2 linked regions of the Solanum lycopersicum genome follow. The protein of the gene in region 2 interacts with the protein of the main gene of each other region in a pairwise test. Links are inferred from orthologs where the notes say so. Each region holds a gene or a part of one and is shown on either strand. Other genes may lie near its edges.

What was found.
Region 1: the proteins of zinc finger CCCH domain-containing protein 29 (region 2) and transcription factor HHO5-like interact in binary tests that used the Arabidopsis thaliana proteins (3 or more experiments, as listed by UniProt). The link is inferred for Solanum lycopersicum from reciprocal best matches to the Arabidopsis thaliana genes CZF1 and AT4G37180.

Annotation. Positions count from the first base shown.
Region 1 is NC_090801.1:68,283,197-68,287,125, reverse strand, and holds the start of transcription factor HHO5-like, read right to left. Parts: upstream 2,301-3,929; 5' UTR 2,064-2,300; coding exon 1,850-2,063; intron 1,752-1,849; coding exon 1,531-1,751; intron 1,450-1,530; coding exon 1,101-1,449; intron 533-1,100; coding exon 456-532; intron 226-455; coding exon 1-225.
Region 2 is NC_090804.1:66,046,229-66,050,157, forward strand, and holds the start of zinc finger CCCH domain-containing protein 29, read right to left. Parts: upstream 2,928-3,929; 5' UTR 2,712-2,927; intron 2,177-2,711; 5' UTR 2,171-2,176; coding exon 83-2,170; 3' UTR 1-82. UniProt on the Arabidopsis thaliana protein: Involved in salt stress response. May positively modulate plant tolerance to salt stress.

The sequences.
Region 1 (3,929 bases), on a different chromosome or scaffold from region 2:
TTCAATGCTCTTGTGAAGCTGTCCATTCCAATTATAGCTTTCCGATTTATTATCCTCTTCTTCATTCACAGACACCCCTTTGGCTGAACCTGAACCAGTAAAATGAAGTGGCCCTTCAGGAGAACCAGATTGTGTACCATTATTCTTTGAAGACTCCCCATTTTCATCCACAGTAGACCATGAACAACCTGATGCTGGGACTCGTCGCACATGAAGTCTATATTTCTGCATATCACAAAATAAATAGTTTGATCAACACGATGTACAACAAACACTCATTATATTGAAAGAGGTTCAATTGAATCCGTAAAAGCAATTTTTTACATAAATTCATTCACTAGCTCACTCTACAAGATTGCAATATTAAAATTGTTGGCTCCGCCATAATTTCTAACACAAGTATCATGGGAACAAAATATAAGCCTCTTATTTGTTGAAAGACCGTAATAGGATACCTGTAAATGGCTTTTCACTTCGTCATTGGTCAGGCCATCCACTTGCATGATATCTCTGATCTGTTTTGGTGTAGCCACTGCAGGATAACATTTCAAAAATTATTGTTAATGTTTTGTTGGATAATAAAAAGTATATAGAGTGACATATATAATAAAATCCTAGTACAAAAGAAAAAAAAATGATAATGAAATAATAGCATGTTGGTGATGTTAAAAATTGATAACAATATTTTAACCATAGTTGCGGCGACTATTACTAGTAAAAAAGAAAGACTTTTGTAATTGCGAGTCTATTTTTTTTCTCTTATGATCAGAATTAAATGATAAAAAGAAATTAATACTAGAACTAATCGATCCAAAAGCTAGCTCGTCCTGCTCAAGATCATATACAAATTCCTTTTATTAAACAATACATTCTACTCCAACCCGATCCTCACATGGCTAGAAAACAATGAATTGGTACGGATCTGATTTTCATGATAAAGAATAGACGACATTTGCATTTCTAAATGAATGATGTGAGACTCCAACAATAGTAATATTATATTTTAATCAAATACTTTCAGCAATTCAACAAGATTAACTATTCATTTTTCACAAAATAATCAAAGGTGAACGCAAATTAATGCGAACACCGACAATTACCTTGTGGACCTCCAAGTTGATGAAGAGCATCAACAAATCTGCGATGCAATTCTGGAGACCAACAACGCCTCTGTTTCCTCTGTAGTGATTTGTCATGTGAAAAACCATCACACCCATTTGAATTTGATGGGCCGTTCTCTCTTTTGACACTCACATCAATTGGATTTTCACGGTTTTCTCCTTCACCCACTGTCACTGCCATTGACAGAGATAAATCCTTCACTGCCAAACATTTTTTGTCTACCTTCAAAGCTTGTCTTTGAAATGGCAAAAATGCCCCTCTTTCACTCGTCAATTTACATGCTCCTAACTGGTATTGCTTCTCCTTGGCTTTATCTTCTACACCACTCTGATTAATCAACAATGGTATAAAAAAATGTCAAAACGATTTTACAAAAAAAAAAAAAAAAAAAAAGGGGGAAAAACTTACCCGTTTTAAGTTTTGAAGATTAAAGCTTTCATACTGAACTGGAGTGCTCCATAGCTGAGCAGAGCTCATCCAATTTTTCTTATCACTTAAATCATTTGACTTTTTTACCCTTCCAATTTCATCAGAATTACCCTTCTTCAGTGGGATGAATTCCTCCATCATCACAGGGCTTTTATCTTTCTCCTTATACAGCAAAGCTTCTGCCTTTAATCTCTCAATAGCTGCCACAAGAATTAAAAACAAAAAGTAAATAAATAACCCCTAAAAAAATGTAGAAAATTGAAAAAATAGAGAAAAAAATTCAAAAAAAAAAACTAACCATGTTTGAGAAGAAGCATACACAAGGGCAATTCACGTTTAAAAGCTTCGATTTTTGTGAGTTCTTCTTCTAAAGGAACAAGAAACTGATTGAGCTTTTTTAATTTCTTGGAGATGTCATCCATGGCAGAAACTTCAGTTAAAACATCTGAAATTAACTTGGGTACATAAACAAAATTCAAATCAATGTTCATTTCTTTAGAATTTGAACCCATAATTTTTTTTATAAAAAAAAATATATTTAATTGTTGTATCACTTTCTCACATTGCCTAGATAGAATGAATAAAGAAAAGGGTTGAAGAAGTCTTATATTTATAGCACAGTTTCACTTTTCAACGAAAACGAGGGTAAAAGTGGAAAGTTGGATTCTAAAAGCTTCAACAGATTCGATATTGTTTTTCACATTCGGGTCGTCGCATATTTGAGTTAACTCGGAAACACGGTTACTCATATAATCAAGGAATCTGAAAATTCAATTTAATTAATTTATCTTTTTTCTTTATAGGGATATTTTCCTTTTTCTTTTGAGGAAAATTATTAGTTATTTGTCTAATTATATTTGTTCATTATTGATTTTGCAAAAAAAAAAAAATTAACAAACTATAAATAATTAATATATTACTAACTTCATTAATTTTTAGTTGTCATAATTTTTTTTAGAGTCAAACTATTATAGATTTGATTAACATTTTATAATGTAATTTCTCATAATATTGATATGCAAAATTTTACAATTTATAGTATTTTTTTTAATATCTAAAGTTTATTTAAAATATCAAATTAATGTTATAATTTAACTTTAAAGTTAGTTAAATTAATTTTCAAAAAGTGTACATTACAAATAAGTGGACGGAAGGATTACTATATCATCCTTTGAGTAAAATCAATATAATGTTTTGAAAAATGTAATAGAGAAATTACTATAATTAAAAATAAGAGTAATTAAAAACTAAGTGTAATATTATTTAATAATTTCATAAAATGACAAGTATTGTTGGACATCTCAAAATAGATGTGAACACAATTGTTAATATGAAGGGAATGATTTATAGTAGTACTTATATAGTATAGTTTTTCAAAATATATAAATAAAAGCATATATGTAACTTCTTTACAATAATATATTCAGAAAAATTTCATAAGTGAGATCTGACTAAGTCGTTTATGAAAATTTAAGTATTAAGTTTTATTTAATTTAACTTTTAAAATAATTAAATTAACTCTTGAAAAGTAGTATACTTCATCTATACAATTTTATAAATTTCGTTTTAACTTGCACAAAATTTAAGAAATTATCTTTTATAAAAAAAAATGCATTTTTAAACTAATAATATATGATACATATTAACATGCCGTTATTTATTTATTTTTCTTAAACATTCTAGCAAAAAATTAAATAAAATTATCAATTTATTTTTAAAAATAAATAAATTTAGAGAACATAAATTAGACGGGTCAAAGTAAAAAGTGTTTATTTATTTATTGTATTTTTACTTTTCAAAGATTCTGCGTCTTTAGGCGGTCGGCTACGTTTGTTGACTTAAATTCCATTTTCTTGAAATAAGAATGGGATGGAATATTTAGTTGTTTGGACTAAATTGCCCTTGCTTTATGACTTTTTTCTAACATGTTAATTAAAAGAGATTAATCTAATCTGATTCTCTGTTTTTGGAGGTTCACTTTCAACTAATGCCTTAAATGCTAAATCAGTTACAAAAAAAGGTTCACAAAATATAGCCAAAAACAGAACAGTTTTGGATTCTACTTCCACTCCATTAATTTTCTTCTATTGGGACTTTAAACCTCTATTTTTTGTAGGCCATGTTTGGTCTCTCTTTGAAATGTTAAAATTATTATAATATCTTATTAGCATTATATTCACGTCTCAATTGAAAAATATACTCCTGATTTCTCACTCCACACCTCTATTGTTGTACCACATGGACAAAAAATTGAATAAATGGACGTTTAGTTTGCAAATAAAATTAAAATTTTGAGATTAATTATATTTATGACCGGAGAAAATATTAATTTGATTTCAAATTTGATTTTGAAATCCTACTTTACTTTGTAAGAAGTC
Region 2 (3,929 bases):
GAAACTAATGGTTAAAACTTATATCCAATATATCGATAAGAATTTCCAATATATCGATAAGAATTTCGAAAAGAATAATTAATTAAGCCACGATACGCTCCTGGTCTATGTACATTTGTTCCAGCCAAGGTGGGATGGAGTCGCGAACACCACCACCGTGCTTCTGCTGCTCTGAACTGTATAGTCCAGTACCAGTGGAGGACACATCTTTCACCAAGGAATGAACCCACGACACGTCTGGCTCGTTGAGTGGAGAGGGTGTGATTGTTGATCTTGTTGGAGCACCATTTCCACCGCGAAAACCAAAAGATTGAGATCTCTTGAGCTTGTTTGTGTCATCACTGTTGAAGCCCCATTCCAGTTTCCCATCAGGGGAGCCCCAGTCTGATGACATCAAAGGTGGTGAGTTAGCAACACCATTGGGAACAGCACGATGGCCCATTCCACTACGGTCAATAAAACTCTGGCTACGCTTTGCAAAAGCAGCAGACCTCGAGTTCATGACAGCTTGAGCCACTGCTGCTGAGGAGTCGAATCCATAGGTTGAGGGCTTCCTCATCGGAGACGATGATTGAGGAATGTTAGTATAGCTTGATTGAAATTGGTTCATGTTTTGTCGCATCTGTAGCCCGGTTGGAGATTGCATCTGGGAGCCGTTACTTGACACCTTAGGTGAGAGACCTTGCAAATGAGAAACCGATGGAGAGTACAACTGAGAGCTGGTGGTGGATGTAACTCTCGGAGAAAGGCCTTGAAATTGGGACAGCAATTGAGAATCCATGGATCCGAAAACATCATCAAGATTCGTAGGCTTCAAATCTGCCATCCGATTGTCCTTGTTCCAATAAGACGGTGAAGAGAGACCAGCCATCTCATCTATCAATTGCTGTCTTAGTTGCTGCTGCGTGCGGATGCTTTCCAAGCCAAGCATGTCCATGTCCAAGTCCAAGTCCCGAGCGTTTAGAGATGTCTTTAGCCTACTGCCAGGTAGCTGTAATGCAGGTGGGGTGATGTTCGCTTTGTTCTGCCACATGTTTCCACCCATTGGAGACGAACATGTAACAGCAGGAGACATCGGTGGCGTTGAAGTACCAGGCAACAACATGGATGAAGAACCAAGAGCCAGAGGGCTCAATGTTGACATGTCCATCGACCCAACTGGACTAGCCTTTGGAGAAGGGATAGCTGAACCAGTGGACGCATACAAGGGGCGCAGCTCTTCGGGCTTGTGAGCAAAGAAGCAAACTTTCCTTGAGCACCCGGTCTCATCCTTGCAGAGACGGGTTCTATATTGAGCAGGGTGAAGCCATGACTCAAATACACCATGAGCATACTCACAAGAATCATTCTTTGCACAAACGCCTTTCTTGAACTCGGGACATGGAACACAAGTATAGTTATACTTCCTTGGATCGCGTCTCCTCGCGTTCTCCCCTGGATGAACAAAAGGGCATTCAGTCCAGTCATGAGAATAAGCCCTTGAACATGGCTTAACCTTAAAACAATACATCCTGAAATCATCACTCCCATAAATCCCATCATTTATGTCAGGCAAGGAAGTATCGACCGGATACTCTTTCTTCTCGCTACCTTCCTTCGTCATCTGAATTGCTGTTTTTCCTTCTTCCTCCTCCTCCAACTCAGCAAGCTCAGCCAAGCAGCCATTCAACAACAACTCCAGCGATTTCCTTTTCGAATTCCTCAAAGACTTAGGATAAGAAGCAATCACATCACAAGGCCTGTTTCCACTAGAATCACAGACATTAACATCAGCAGAAGCATCAATCAAGATCTTTAAAACCTCGACCGATGATTCCGACCCACCAGCTGCAGCACAGTGAAGAGCAGTTGCACCATCAGAGCCACAAGCCCTGTTGACATCAACCTTACCAGTTCCAACAATATACTTCAAAATCTCAATACTTCCATACATGGAAGCAATCATCAGAGGAGTTCTCTCTTCAAACCCCATCTTTTTTGAACCAAATCTTCTCCCATACCAAAAGCTGAACTCATCAACAGCACAACCTTTCTCAACTTCACATATGAAGCTAGCAAGATCATCTGAAGCTGACAATTCAAGCAATTTTGAACAATTTCTACCATGCCCATCTTTCTTATCCATGTTTAAATCAGAAGGACAAACTTTACTCCTTGAACCAGTACACATCAATTCCTGCAAGTCATCAAAAAGCTTCAGATTTAGATTTACTACTCCATCCAACACATATAAAATCACAAATTCCAAAAGTAACAAACAGTATAAACCTAAATCATTACTATAACTCTTCCTAGATTTACATTTGCTACTAAATCAAACCCATAAAACATCAGAAATACTGAACCAAAAATCCCAACTTTTTTCCCTAAATCCAATGAACCCATCAGAGTAAACCCCACCAAAAGAATAGATCTCATAAAACTTCAACAACATAAAGAAAAAAACACAGAACTAGTCAACAAAAAGTTCCAAAGTTTCAATCTTTTTTCAAAATACTCCATACCCATACACTAAATTAACCATAAAAAGACAAAAACTAGAAACCCATCTCATAACTTCAACTAGTCAACAAGAACTGAAACCCCATCACCAAAAAGTTCCAAACTTTCAATATTTTTCACAAACCCATAAGCATTCTTTACCATAAAATGACAAAAACCCCATACTAGAAGAAACTAAAAGCAATAAAATTTTGAGAACAAAACATTACCTTAGAGATGGATGGATCAAGAAACTTGAAAATCAAGTATTGAATTAGTTGTAAGATTTGGGAGTTGTTATTTGTTTTGAGTAATTTTTTTTTGTGAAGAAATGAGTGAAGGGTTCAGAGGTATATATGAGTTAGAGAAAGGAAAGGAGGAGGAAAGGGTGACTTTTCTTCTTGGTGAGTTCAATTTTTTCTCTCCTCTTTTTAGTGTTAATGGTCAAAGTCAAATCTTCAAAATTTGGTCCACTACATACAATAAAATTATAGATATGGTCACTAATATTTTAGAGTAAGTTCAAAATATACCCTAAAGTTTGTTATGAACATTTTAGTTTTTTAAGTTTGTCAAAAGTTAAAACTTGTTATATTCGTCAAATACAATAACATATTTGAATAACTAGAGGTTGAACAGAGTAAGATGTACGTAGAATTGATACATACTTTTTTTTTTGAGTTAGAGAGGTTGTTCACTTAAAAGAAGTGAAACTAAGACAAAATTGAAAAATTCTAACGATTTAATGAAAAAAATGAAAATAAGGAATTCAGTGAAAATTAATATATCTAAGAGGCAATGTTTTTGCAGATGTTTTTTTTTTTTTTGAGAGTTTGATATAATATTTTAGGTGCAATTTCTAATATTTTTGAGATTTAGTGTAGCTTTTTGTATTCAAAATACCCTATTTGATAAACTTTTCTAGTGGTTTTGATTATGTAGGTTTACATTTCAATTAAATATTTAGCAGATAAAGTTTGTTAAACATTTAGCCAAAACTAAAAGTACTTTTTTCACGTACTTTGATTTGTTTGTTAGTTTGTTTTAAATATAATTTTTTTTGTAAGTTTTTAATTTCAATTTTTAATGTGACATGTATACGACTGTAAAATAAATTTTTTTTATACGTTTCATATATCTTTAATTTAAAATCATAGAATACAATAGTCTTCTATAATTCTTGTATTTTTAGTTAAATCAAAATCAGACAAACAAATTGAAACCGATAAAATAACTTTTAATAATTTAAATGACTTGAATTATTCAAAGAATACTTAAGGGAGTACTTTAAACATTACCATAAAAATAAGGGACAAATTTTGTCATTTTCTCACTATATTACATACCACTTGTGTGTCTTACTGGTTCCCACCTAAATGCAAATGAAAATTTCAAATGCAAATTAAAATGAAATTCAAATTCAAATGCAAATGTAAATTAAAAATGAT